Tamandua tetradactyla: one gene and its partner. The protein of the gene in region 2 purifies or fractionates together with the protein of the main gene of each other region. This does not show direct contact. Links are inferred from orthologs where the notes say so. Each region holds a gene or a part of one and is shown on either strand. Other genes may lie near its edges.

What was found. Proteins that work in one complex are often made in the same cells at the same time.
Region 1: the proteins of ACBD6 (region 2) and NMT1 purify together in Homo sapiens (co-immunoprecipitation; 3 studies listed by BioGRID and IntAct, with this or other methods). This does not show direct contact. The link is inferred for Tamandua tetradactyla from reciprocal best matches to the Homo sapiens genes ACBD6 and NMT1.

The regions. Positions count from the first base shown.
Region 1 is NC_135332.1:22,391,075-22,398,461, forward strand, and holds the start of NMT1 (glycylpeptide N-tetradecanoyltransferase 1), read right to left. Parts: upstream 3,016-7,387; 5' UTR 2,728-3,015; coding exon 2,597-2,727; exon of another isoform or gene 2,512-2,596; intron 1-2,511.
Region 2 is NC_135330.1:35,326,317-35,333,629, forward strand, and holds the start of ACBD6 (acyl-CoA-binding domain-containing protein 6), read right to left. Parts: upstream 3,009-7,313; 5' UTR 2,646-3,008; coding exon 2,421-2,645; intron 1-2,420. UniProt on the Homo sapiens protein: Binds long-chain acyl-coenzyme A molecules with a strong preference for unsaturated C18:1-CoA, lower affinity for unsaturated C20:4-CoA, and very weak affinity for saturated C16:0-CoA. Does not bind fatty acids. Plays a role in protein N-myristoylation.

The sequences.
Region 1 (7,387 bases), on a different chromosome or scaffold from region 2:
ATAAGGGGAAAATGAAAGTCCTCTAGCATTTGGGCTGTACGCTTTTAACATACTTGCCATTCTTTCACAGAGCAAATACTCATTAAGGCCCAGTGAGCACCACACACTTTGCAGAAAAAATCCGTTCTCATGTACCTTACAGTCAGGTGAGGCAGGAATTGGACACATTAAAAATGTTAATTAATTATTTCTACGATAAAAGCTATTCTGGCTTAGGGGCAGAATTTTCACCTGCCATGTCCAAGACCAGGGTTCAGTTCCCAGAGCCTGCCTATGCTATAAAAAAAAAAAAGCTATGAAAAATACAGTATGTGATAACAGCAGAGTGAGGTAGGGAAGGCTGGGGGAAGAGGATCAGAGATTTGAAAAAAGAACAGGAAGGGAAGGGCTGCATTCCAGACGTTATCTCACTTAATACCAGCAACAATTCTAGGTTAAATAATTTTCCCAAGGTCACAAGACTATTAAATGTCAGAACCAGGCTTTGAATCCAGGTGTGAATGACTTCAAAGTTCATGCTTTTCCCACAGTGCCATGTTGCATTTTCCCAAAACCTCTGCTGAAATTAATGGGAAAAAGTTGATTCTACCCTACATTCTATTATCTAAGTGCCAGAATTAGATTCTGTCCTCCAGCTAGGCTCTGTGTTTCACCCAACCACTCCAAGCTCATTTACATAGACCTCTAGATTTGGAATGCTAATAAACTTAAGTTGTTCAACCAGACCATAACCATGTACAAAACAGACAAACACACAAAAACACTCCAAAGTGTTTTTTTTAGGTTACTATAAAATAATTACTATTGTTGTACTATAAATAAAACGCAAAGCTTTATGCCAAACAGTTTTGTATGTGATTCATACATTATAAGGAACAAAACAAATTAAAGAGCCATAGACACTGGTCAGGGATACAGTCAAAAAAAAAAACGTAAACTATATAAAGAGAAAAGAAAAAAACATATTTTCAGTTCTGAAAAGACTTTCACTTTCAACAACTCTTCTGAAGAGGACTATACTTTCTCTTCTTTCTGTTCCTTCTTTTTCTTTTTTTCAGCTCTTCATTCTTAGGAATCTCAAACTTTAAAATGCAGCTTTTGCTATACTTGATCTGTTGTGAGTTACAGCAATTAAACAGTTTTATAAAACCAAATTTGAAAAACTGCCTATTTCTTTTGTTTTTCTCGTGAGTTTTTTTTTTTTTTGGTATGCTGTATGGTGGGGGTCACAGTTCATTCTTTCTCCATGTGAGTACCCCGAAATTGCAGGTCAAAAACAAACTTAACCATTTGTTGAATTTTTGTTTGTTTACTTACTTGTTTTTTTTTTTTGGGAAGTGCATGGGCTGGGACTCCAACTGGGTCTCCTGTACAGAAGGTGAGAATTCTACTACTGAACTACCCTTGCACACCCTTCTTGTGCTTTTTAATGCTGACTGAAAAACATAAAAGCTAAATATTTTAACCTGGGATTTAGTACAAGCAAATTAAAAACCATATAAACTACTTACATAATCCTTTGTTCTCCTGCTGCTACACAATAAAAGATTTTTAAAAAAAGAGCAGTTTATCCAAAGACCTCAATCCTCTACTCTACTAATCTCTAAGGCTACCACCAATACTGCCAATGACAAGCTGGCTATGAAAATCAAATTACGACAGGCCACAGACTCAGCAAGAATTATACATTCAACACAGTTACTCAGAGCTTCCAGTTAACAAAACATATATGTAAATACAGATGGACTAAGAAAGTTTGTATACAGCACGTGGGCGCCAGCCATGCCACCGTGACAACGTGAAGATGAATGATAGGGTGCGGCGCATAAGACTGAAAACGGATTTGGCAGGAAAAAAACCCTCAAGACTCAAATTCCTGATGCATTTCTCCTTAGGAAGACATAGTTTCTACTAGGTAAGATCCTGTAGTACAGGAAATGCAGTATCATACTCAATTTCCAAACGCTATTCAAGAAGCACTACCGCTCAATTTCTTTCAGCTTGAGGTTACTTCGCAAAGTTAACAGAGCAAAGATGCAAGACTTAATTATACAGTTCAGGAAATGTACGGATTATTTGGATCAACGGACACCGTGTAACTCAAAACAACCTGCAGTAATTACCTAGGGTTTATAAAGTGAGTTTATATTTTGACTTCTCCAGTACTGCTATTTCACAACATAATTATGGTTTGAATAGCCTGATGAATTTCCTCATTGAAGGTGAATGTAGGGAAATGTTTTATTTTTCGTTTATTGCTAACCATTTTGTTCACACAACACCTTTATACTGTACTGTCATTGGACGGCCCCGCATTGTGCTCTTTTCCCCGGACGAGCCTGAAGCAAACGAGTGGAACATTACACAGAAGAACTTTTACACAATAAAAGTACTGAATGTCTCCGGCCCTAATATACTGAACGCCCAATCCTGGTAAATGACAAAGACAGCAACCAATCACCAGACAGGACCCACTGTCTTAGCCAATAAGAATATAGGGGTGGGCCTTAGAATAAGCTGCCGGTGACTTCCCCGCACCCCAGAGAACCAGGTTGTGGGAGAGACTGGGTAGCAATTGGGCCGACTATCTTGTTACCCCCGGTTGTAGCTGTTGTCCTCCTCGTTTTCGCAATCACTGCAGTGCTCATGGCCGTTTCCGTTCCCTTCCATCATCTGCGGCAGCGGAGGTACCGGCGGCTTCACTGCTGTCTCACTCTCGTCCGCCATCTTGCGTTGCGAGAGCCGGGCTCCGCGCCTCGCTACATGGGGGCTTCCTATTGGATATGGGGAACTTGCGCTATCTTCTGGGTTTTGTAGTTTTTATGGCGAAGGATTGAGCCTCACCTAGGAGCGGCTCGTGCCCGGAAACCGGAAAGAAGTGGACTACAATACCCAGAAATTATGAGGGAGGGTGTCCTTTAGGTGGGAAGGGACAGCAACACGCGGAAGTCCTAGGCGTTCCGCCGAGCTTTGAGGAGAGACCCGCCCCGAGGTCGATGGAGTCCACCCTTCCCCAGGGTGGACGCGTGGCATGCTGGGAGTTGTAGTTCCATGCTCGATTAGGGGTTCTGGCGTGGAGGCTCCAAAATCCAAGTTAGAGCAAGTTTGACCTCAGCTTGCTCTAGCCAGTGCCTGGGCCTTAGGTGAACCGGTACTGGTTGCCGTTAAGGACCTTTAGCCATCCCGGGTAAGTGAGAGGGTCGGAGACCCTCGGGTGTGACCCGTCCGGAGCCAGAATGGCTTGGGCCTTTTCGGAGAGGCTTTTCTGCAAGAAGCCAGGTTGGCCCCTGGCCGCCTTACTCACTCGGGACTCTGGGCAGCCCCTGATCGTTGATAGTTCAAGTCCTCGTGAGAGGCTGTGGGTGGTGGGGTGTGGAGCCCTGAACCTGAGCCAAGAGACTTTACTGCTCAGTCAGGCCTCGTGGTTTCTTGTCCTCCAGGTACTGGTCTCCACTAAGCAGACGTTTCCCTTTCATTCTCCAGGAACAGCCATCCACTTTGCTGAGCATTTACATCCCAGGCCCTGTGATGAGGTATTTTGTACATTATCTCACTTAGTCTTCCCAGCAAACCTAGAATGTGGGTACTATTAGTATCCCCCCTCGTCACAGATGAAGAAATGAGGCCGAAAGAGGGTAGTAAATTCTAACCACGGCTAGTAAGTGGTAAAATCATAACACAAATCTGGATCTCTGTGCCCTAGGCCCTCTGAATTCTCTATCATTACAAAAATCCCATTGTCTGATACACATCTACCCCCAAAATCCGTTATTAGAAGGTAACTGCAACATTTTAATCTGCTTTTAGCCTTCAGTCCCTTGGGTCTCACTCTGTGACTGAGTAATATCTGAACTGGGTGCTGAGGAAAGAACCCAAAGACATGGTTCCCATTCAGGTTGGAGGTTGTGGGTGGTGAGGAAAGAACTAGTTCATCCTGCTAGAGAGCTCCCTGGGCAAAAACAGAAATGATCTTTGCCTTTGGGAAACTATGAATATGGGAAGAAGAGTAGAGTGGGAAGAAGTAGTTCCCATCTGACTCAGGGAAACAAAACACAAGTAAAATATAGAGCTAAATATAGTCAACTCTTAGTTTTTAAGTTGGTTGCAGGAGCAGAAGTAAATATGATTCAAAGCAGTTAGAAACTCCTGCTTAGGCTGAGAGCTGTCACCCACACTGACCTGGCCAGGGCTAGGACTTCTGTCAGCATGATACCTTATATGCAGCTGCAGAAGGAGGAGGCGGTCAAAGAAAATAATAAGCCTTAAAAGTATTAGATGGGGGCTGGCCACGGTGGCTCAGCAGGCAGAATTCTCGCCTGCCATCTCATAGACCCGGGTTCGATTCTCGGTGCCTGCCCATGCAAAAAAAAAGTGTTAGTTGGATTTAACTTTTCTAAGTATTTTGACCCTACTTTAGTTAATAATGACCTTGTGAAGTAGGTTGAGAAGGTGTGATTTACAGAAAATTGTGCTTGCAAAAAATTAATAAATAAAAAATCAAACAGTGATACTGAATTACAAAACTGGGACCAGAACTCTTATCTGGGTATCCTAATTCCCAATCCTTTATTTTCTTTTCCCACAGATAAGCAGAGGTCGAATGAAGACCAAAGAACAACCAGAGAAGAATAATATTAGGGAATGAAGGCCCTGATTTCTGTGAATGCTGCCATTCTTGCAGGTCAGAGCTTGAGTAAGACCTTGTACTTCACTGCAAACTGAGCCGGCTTTTACTGAAGCAGTTTTTCTAGGAAGTAAGCAGACAATGTGGCTGTCATGACCAAGTTCAGAATGCAACTACAAGTCCAAAGTTCTGGAATGCAGCACCTCCAGGAATTACAGAGAAAGAAGGGACCTGAGGGGCACTTTCTCTCTCTCTCTCCCTCTCTCTCTTTGTCTCTGTTTCTCTCAGTATTTTTCAAATCAGGATTCTCAGATTTTAAAAGATTCATGAGTTCTCTATAATAAAATTTAAACTTTATGTATTTAAAAAGAAACTGAACACATATAGTCACTTTACCACTTGATAACTGAGTATTGCCACATGGGATTTTAGTATTTAAGTTTTTTGGGGGGAAGAATTTGTCACATTTGTACAGAATGTTCACCCAAAGCAAAGTAATGGAGAGTTTCCTAAATTTTTTCTTGGGGTTCCAAGAGTTCTCATATTTTTTCCTCCTCACCCCCATAAGAGACAGCCTTTCACTTTCAGACAATTCTAATTGGTGGGAAGTTGGCCAAGTTCTGCCTTATGGGGTTATGCAGAAATGTACAGTCTTGTGTCCTTATAATTATTACATTTCCTACAATTAGTATTTGATTCCCTAAAATTCTTCTCTTTTCTGAGCTCCTCATCACAGTAGAATGGCAGGACCCTTTTGTCTAGCCCTACTGGCTCTTCCCACACACCTGTTCTGGCAGGGCATTACATGAAGTTAGTGGGTACAGCAGGCCTCCGAGGGTGGCTGAGTGACCTGCCTGTGGAACTCTGCAGCTTCTAGAATTTACTCCTATCACAGACACTTCCCTCAACCCCTCACAGATGGAGGCAGTAGAATGTGGTGGTTAGAGTCCAGGTTCCAGAATCTGACTCTGCTGGTTCCGGCTGAAACAGCCACAAGACTTAACCTGAAAGAAAAATAGGGGGAGATCCATCCGGGATTGCCCAAAACTGCTCCACAATGGGGCTGTTGAGATTCAGAAGAAACGCTGAATGCCAGGGTAATCAATCCTTAAGCATTTATTAGGAGAACTTACATACAGAGAGCTGCCAAACAGTGAGACTGGCAAATTCACTTGAGTATGTCTACGCCTATGGCAACAGCTGGGGGACAAAGGTGTCTGAATGCCAGAAGTTTGTGTGCCAGATTTGGGAAAACATCTGGGTATGTGCTCTTTTCTCAAAACAAAGTGTGCTTGGGGTGGGCAGTATTCAAGGTTGTGCTTGCAAAAAAAAAAAAAAAAAAAAAAATCGAACAGCCAAAGCTGGGCATGCTTCCAGGGAGTTCACAGAGTCAATGGTAAGAAAGAAGAATAAGGCCTTCAGGGTGGGGAAGCTTAAAAAGTAAGAGGGCAGAAGCAGGGACTCCTGCAATATAGTGACCCCTTATGTTTATACAATGCAATAACCAAATTATTTTCCTCCTTCCCCTTTCCCAAGGGGTCTGTATGTCTGGAGAGGTGATCTTGGGCCAGGTCACAAAAGGCCCTGCATTTCAGGCTAGGGAGTTTGGACTTTATCTTCCAGCTGGTGAGGACCTATGGGAGGTGGGTTTTGTTTTGTTTTGTTTTGTTTTGTTTTTTGGAAGTTTTATAATAAAGGATAAATATTAATGATATTTGTAAGGTTTGGTATGAATTTAATTGCATATTAATATTTATTTTAAATAAACATACTGAAAATAAATTTCATTATAAGAACAAGAGTCAAAGACCTGGGAGTCAAAGGAGTCATTTCTAATGGATTCAAGGAGTTGTTAATCAAACAAAATTTGAAACACCACCATGTTCCAGGCATCATGCCGTATGTTAAGGATACAGAGGTGACTGAGAAGCAGTATGTTGTCAGTATAAAGATCATATAAAAAGCTAGAGTCACCTCAAAGTTTACTATTACTCCCCTGAATAATGAAGGATATGTTTTGAGGCTGAGAAAGCCCTTGATACTACCAAGGTGAAGCTTCAGTGCAGAGAAGGTGCTTGGTTAAAGCCTCTGCAGCAGCCCTTCAACCTTTACCCCGGCAGAGTTGCAGCAACTATTGTCAGATTGGACCACAAGGATATCAATTTAAAAGACAAGGCCTCTCTCATAAACAAGAATCTGGGAAAATCAGAATCATCTGCAAAAATTTCCTAACAGCATGAGATTTTGTAGGTTTGTCCAGAGTGATGCCCCGATAAATCCCAGAGTGATGTAAACAGTGAATAAAAAGTTTTTGTGAAGTCCCCTTGGGGGAATGGTTAGAAAGGGGGAAAATTCAACTCCACCATCTGGAGAATTCCTGATATTCTCACAAGCAGTGGAAACAACCAAAGCAATAGGCCGAGCCCTCAATCTTGGGGTTTGTTCATATGAAACTTATCCCCGCAAAGGACAGGCTAAGCCTACTTAAAATTAGGCCAAGGAGTCACCCCCAGAGAACCTCTTTTGTTGCTCAGATGTGGCCTCTCTCTCTCAGCCAACATGACAAGCAAACTCACTGCCCTCCCCCTCTCTACATGGGACATGACTCCCAGGGGTATAAACCTTCCTGGCAACGTGGGACAGAAATCCTAGAATGAGCTGGGACTCAGCATCAAGGAAATGAGAAAACCTTCTAGACCAAAAGGGGGAAGAGAGAAATGAGACACAATAAAGTATCAATGGCAGAGAGATTCCGAACAGAGT
Region 2 (7,313 bases):
TAGACACATGGCCATCCAGCAGAACATCACATGCGTCTATTTAACTTCTGCGAGGTTCTGGAGATTAGATGTATATAAATTATATAATTACCTTCCCTAAAAATAAAGGAGTCTTTCATCTTAAAAGTGAAAATGCTCTAAAATTGATTTAGGTGATAAATGTCCAACCATGTGATGATACTGTGAACTAATGATTGTTACTCTGGATGGATCATATGGCCAGTGAATATATTTCAATAAAACTGTTTTTTTAAAAAGGGGTGGTGCTTATCTCCCCCTTCCCCTTTACCCTGATTAGAACATACACGTGACGACAGTGAGCCACTTCTAGGCATGAAAAGAGAATTTTAAGGCAGCAGTTCTCAAACTTTTTGGTCTCAAGGTCCCTTAACACTCAGAAATTAAGGACCCCAAAGAGCTTTTCTTTATATATGGGTTTTCACTAATGATATTTACCATATTAGAAATTAAAACAGAAACCATATTTTAAAATGTGGGTTAATTAATTTAAAATAATAATAAACTTGTAGTAGTTAGGTTCAGGTCTCAACTTGGCCAGGTGATGCTGCCTAGTTCTGTGGCTGTTGACTTATATCATCAGCATGTAAAATTTATCTATTGCTGATGACATCTGCAATTGTCTAAGAGAGTACCTCCCACAATGAGTAACATTTAATTTAATTAGGTGGAGGCTTAAAAGAAAAAAGTCAGAGGATAGCTCAGCAGCTCAGACCCAGAAGTTGGAGATACAGAAAGGAATTGCCCAGAGAAAGCCATTCGAACCAAGAAGCCTGGAGGGAAGGTCAGCAGACGCCTCAGGATGCTTTCCCAAGTGACACAGGAAGCCAGAGGAAAGCCAGCTGCCTTTACTCCGAAGAACTATAAATTTGTAACTAAATAAATCCCCTTTATAAAAGCCAGTTCATCTCTGGTGTATTGTATTCTGGAAGCACTGGCAAACGAAAACATTATATGTTAACATAAAATTTTATGGAAAATAACTATATACTCAAAAACAAAATTTTATAAGAAGAGTAACATTGTTTTATATTTTGTAAATCTCTTTCGTGTCTGGCTTAATAGAAGGCAGTTGAATTCTCAAATCTACATTTGCACTGAACCTGTCGCAATATGTTGTTTTGACTGAAGCACAGGAAGAAAACTGGCATCACACAGACATGTTGTTAGAAAAAGGAGAAAATTTTAATAGACTTTTCAGATAATTGTAGATATTCTACACGTTTACATCTAGATTCCTCAAATACATTGCAAACCTCTTGAGGGCAAGTATCATGATGCTTTTGCTTTTCAGCATACCCTATAGGCACAACACCTAAGTTTTGTGTACAGAAAAGGCACTAACTAAACAAATATTTGTTGATTGATAAATCAACCATTTTTCCTTCTGATTCCTTACAATGCCTCTTTGAATGATAAATTAAACATACCTTATATGAATAACTCATTAACATCCAAATTTCCAGTTAAAGTTCAGGACTTCAGAGAGAGCTGGGAGTTACAATTGAGTTCGGATTTATCTGTATGACCATGGACAAGTTACCTCTAAAATTTTATGATTATATAAAATTTTATGATTATATGTAACAGACTGAAATATTCAGTCAAAACATAAGTCTGAGATCTACAAGGTTAAAAAAACACAAAAGTAATATTTTGTTTATTGATCATCCCATTTATTGCAATCATATTATTCTCTTGGATCTCAAAGATATTTATTAACATTTATCATATTTACTGCCATATGACCCCTTGCAAGAGTGAATGATTCAAGCTAGAAAAACGTTTGTCATTATTTCAAGGTGCTAATGATAGGGTGATATTTGGGAAAATACAATCAATGCAAACTAAGGTCTATAGTTAATAACACCAATATTATTTCATTAATTATAACAAAGGCACTATACCAAAGATAAAAGTCAAAAATAGGGAGGTAAAAGGGGTATGAGTTTCTTTTTCGGAAGAAACGAGAATGTTCTCGTATCTATTGTGGTGGAGAATGTATAACTGTGATTATACCAAGAGCCATTCATTGTACATTTAGTGTAGTGTAAGGTGTGTGAATAAAACCGTTTAAAAAAATGAATGATAAATCTTATTTTATCATCCTCATTCTGTAAAGACTATGAAGCTGGTAAAAGGCTATGTGCAAAGTCACTGAATGTTTCAATGAGGACAGAAAAACTGTCATTTAGTGTTCAGCATATCACTCGTAGGATAGCAGACAGGACCTTCCTATGTCATGAATGATGCTAACCCCCAGCAGATGATTCAAAACAAAACACAGGCAAACTTCATTATACCTAGCCATTAAACATGTACGTTTGCTATCTGTTTTTGGAGGAAAGAGAAGGCAAGGCCCCCTTGTCTCTCCTACATCCACTCCTTCCCTGCGACCTTACCTGCTTGTACCTGGCATACAGATACAGGAGCTGCTCCCTGCTGGCCACCTCAATCAGGCTTTGGAGATGTACTGCAGCCTTCTCGAACAACTCCGTCAGGCTCCTGGACGCCTTCAACTCGGGGTTCTGATGGGACTCCCCGGCATCACCGGAGTCCTCCTCCGAGCTAAGCTCCCCGCTACTGCTGCCTGTGGTGGCCCCCGTGGGCAGAAATGACGAGGCCATGTCTCCTTGCTCGGTCGGTCTCTCTGTGTCCGGTCTGTCCTCCTCAAACCAGGTGTACCGCGGGCAAACGGGTCTGGATGGCCAGTCTAGGTCCTGAACTTGAATCGGACTCAAGCTGACTTACTACGCCGCGCTCCGTCACGGAACTCTGCCTCCCTCCCACTTCTACCCTGCTACACTCTGCCGCTCTCTCCCCAGTAGATCCGGCCTCCCAGCTCTTCCCTCTAACAGTGCGCCCAGATTCGTCAGCACTTCCCCCAACGGCGCGGAAGCCGAGAGGCAACACAGACCCGACGGGTGGCGGAGAGGGCTGCACGCGGCCGGCTGACGGGCCGACGGGGGTGGGGCTGCGTGCGCGCCTGAGCATGCGCATTAGGCTCGCGCTAGGGGTAACGCGCGGCTTCTGCGGCGCGCGACCCGTTTGAGCCTGCTCAGCGCCGGTAGGGGGAAGTGTAGGTGGCCTTACGGTGGACGCTCTTTTTACCCAAAACTCGCGGGATCTCGCTGGTTTGATGCTGTTTGGAAAAACTATCTTGAGTCGTTCTGTTCCCGCTAATGTTTCCGTTGTAATTAGTGGTCACACAGTCTGGATCTCGTCCTCGGGATAGGCTGTCAGGAGTGGGGGGTGGCGGAAGGAGACCGTCTATTTGATATGAACGATATGAGAGGAATCGCGGGAAATGTGAAATTACGGACGAAGGTTGCGTTTACTCCGGCCTGTAGGATTTGTGTTCAGCTGTTCCTCAACCCCCGCCCCAACCACCGCCTCACTCTCCATCCCTCAAACAGGCCTCCGATCCCTTCGCCTTCATCGGTTGCTTGAGAGTTTTGTTCTATCTTGAATAATGAATGAAAAACGGGGAGATGGGCTCTCTGGAAGTATCTGTCATTGGAATCATTCTTTTCCTGTCTCTCGTTTTCTGTACCTGCGGAGCCTCTCATCTGTCAGGGCTCTGAGAATAAACCCTTTGAGGACCCCCACCCTTAGCAAGATTCTCCTTCATAACTCAGGCTTGCCACTCTGCTTTGTGGACTCAGTGAAGTGAAACCAAAAAAAAAAAAAGTATGGCATAGCCCCTAAAGAAACTTACAGAACTAGGCAAACTGTAGTATTATACAGTAACAAACATTGACTGAGTGCCTATTGCGTCCTAAATGGTGGTGACAAAAAAATATATCGTATAAAGTTTGTACAAAAACATGATTAAGGATTGGTCATGAGGACTGTTCTAGTTTGCCAGCTGCAGGAATGCAATATGCCAGAAACAGAATGGCTTTTAAAAAGGGGATTTTAAGTTGCAAGTTTAAAATCTCCAAATTAAAGCAAGTCTATAAAAAATGTCCAAATTAAGGTACCATTGAAAGGTTACCATCACTCAAGAAATGCTGATGAAGTTCAGGGTTTCTCAACTGGAAAGGCACATAGCAAACATGGCAACATCTGCTAGCTTTCTTTCAGGCTAGCAAAAAATAGGCTTCTTGTTTCATGAAGCTCCCCCAGAGGCATATTCCTTCTTCATCTTTAAAGGTCTCTGGCTGACTGGGCTCTTGTGGTTCTCATGGCTCTCTCCAAAATGTTTCCTCTTTAAAGGATTCCAGTAAACTAATCATAAGACCCATTTGAAATGGGTGGAGTCGCAACCCCTTTAATCAAAGATTAATACCCACAGTTGGGTGTGTCACATCTCCATAGAGATAATCTAATCAAGTTTCCAACCTACAGTGCTGCATAGGGATTAAAAGAAACCCCTGCCTCCACAAAATGGATCAGGATTAAAACATAGCTTTTCTAGGGTACATACTCCTTTCAAACCAGCACAGAGATACATGCACAATTATGTTATGATACTGTGAACCTTTGATTGTATACAATTGTATATGATTAGGTGTCATAGGTTTTTAATTTTTTTGAATTAGGGAAGTGTAAATTTACAGAGAAATCCAAAATACAACATTCCCATGTACCACCACCACCACCCCCTCTTTTAACACTTTGCATCTCTCTGGTAACTTGTTACAATTGATGAAAGAATAATTGTACTATTATACATAGTTTATACTAGGCTGTATTTTTTACCCGTATACCACTCTATTTTTTTTTATTAATTAAAAAAAGAATTAACAAAACAATTAGAAATCATTCCAATCTACATGTACAATCAGTAATTCTTAATAACATCACATAGTTGCATATTCATCATTTCTTAGTACATTTGCATCGATTTAGAAAAAGAAATAAAAAGACAACAGAATAAGAATTAAAGCAATAATAGAAAGAAAAAAAAACAAAAAAAACAAAAACAAAAAACCTATACCTCACATGCAGCTTCATTCAGTGTTTTAACATAATTGCATTACAATTGGGTAGTATTGTGCTGTCCATTTCTGAGTTTTTATATCCAGTCCCGTTGTACAGTCTGTATCCCTTCATCTCCAATTATCCCTTCTCTTTTTTTTTTTTTTAATTAACGGAAAAAAGAAATTAACCCAACATTTAGAGATCATACCATTCTACACATGCAATCATTAATTCTTAACATCATCACATAGATGCATGATCATCATTTCTTACTACATTTGCATTGGTTTAGAAGAACTAGCAACATAACCGAAAAACATATAGAATGTTAATATAGAGAAAAAAATAAAAGTAATAATAGTAAAATCAAAACAAAACAAAACAAAACAAAACAAAAACCTATAGCTCAGATGCAGCTTCATTCAGTGTTTTAACATGATTACTTTACAATTAGGTATTATTGTGCTGTCCATTTTTGAGTTTTTGTATCTAGTCCTGTTGCACAGTCTGTATCCCTTCAGCTTCAATTACCCATTGTCTTACCCTGTTTCTAACTCCTGCTGAACTCTGTTACCAATGACATATTTCAAGTTTATTCTCGAATGTCCGTTCACATCAGTGGGACCATACAGTATTTGTCCTTTAGTTTTTGGCTGGATTCACTCAGCATAATATTCTCTAGGTCCATCCATGTTATTACATGGTTCATAAGTTTATCTTGTCTTAAAGCTGCATAATATTCCATCGTATGTATATACCACAGTTTGTTTAGCCACTCTTCTGTTGATGGAGATTTTGGCTGTTTCCATCTCTTTGCAATTGTAAATAATGCTGCTATAAACATTGGTGTGCAAATGTCCGTTTGTGTCTTTGCCCTTAAGTCCTTTGAGTAGATACCTAGCAATGGTATTGCTGGGTCGTATGGCAATTCTATATTCAGCTTTTTGAGGAACCGCCAAACTGCCTTCCACAGTGGTTGTACCCTTTGACATTCCCACCAACAGTGGATAAGTGTGCCTCTTTCTCCGCATCCTCTCCAGCACTTGTCGTTTTCTGTTTTGTTGATAATGGCCATTCTGGTGGGTGTGAGATGATATCTCATTGTGGTTTTGATTTGCATTTCTCTAATGGCCAGGGACATTGAGCAGCTCTTCATGTGCCTCTTGGCCATCCGTATTTCCTCTTCTGAGAGGTGTCTGTTCAAGTCTTTTTCCCATTTTGTAATTGGGTTGGCTGTCTTTTTGTTGTTGAGATGAACAATCTCTTTATAAATTCTGGATACTAGACCTTTATCTGATATATCATTTCCAAATATTGTCTCCCATTGTGAAGGCTGTCTTTCTACTTTCTTGATGAAGTTCTTTGATGCGCAAAAGTGTTTAATTTTGAGGAGTTCCCATTTATTTATTTCCTTCTTCAGTGCTCTTGCTTTAGGTTTAAGGTCCATAAAACCGCCTCCAGTTGTAAGATCCATAAGATATCTCCCAACATTTTCCTCTAACTGTTTTATGGTCTTAGACATAATGTTTAGATCTTTGATCCATTTTGAGTTAACTTTTGTATAGGGTGTGAGAGATGGGTCTTCTTTCATTCTTTTGCATATGGATATCCAGTTCTCTAGGCACCATTTATTGAAGAGACTGCTCTGTCCCAGGTGAGTTGGCTTGACTGCCTTATCAAAGATCAAATGTCCATAGATGAGAGGGTCTATATCTGAGCACTCTATTCGATTCCATTGGTCGATATATCTATCTTTATGCCAATACCATGCTGTTTTGATCACTGTGGCTTCATAATATGCCTTCAAGTCAGGCAGCGCGAGACCTCCAGCTTCGTTTTTTTTCCTCAAGATGTTTTTAGCAATTCGGGGCACCCTGCCCTTCCAGATAAATTTGCTTATTGGTTTTTCTATTTCTGAAAAATAAGTTGTTGGGATTTTGATTGGTATTGCATTGAATCTGTAAATCAATTTAGGTAGGATTGACATCTTAACTATATTTAGTCTTCCAATCCATGAACACGGTATGCCCTTCCATCTATTTAGGTCTTCTGTGATTTCTTTTAGCAGTTTTTTGTAGTTTTCTTTATATAGGTTTTTTGTCTCTTTAGTTAAATTTATTCCTAGGTATTTTATTCTTTTAGTTGCAATTGTAAATGGGATTCGTTTCTTGATTTCCCCCTCAGCTTGTTCATTACTAGTGTATAGAAATGCTACAGATTTTTGAATGTTGATCTTGTAACCTGCTACTTTGCTGTACTCATTTATTAGCTCTAGTAGTTTTGTTGTGGATTTTTCCGGGTTTTCGACGTATAGTATCATATCGTCTGCAAACAGTGATAGTTTTACTTCTTCCTTTCCAATTTTGATG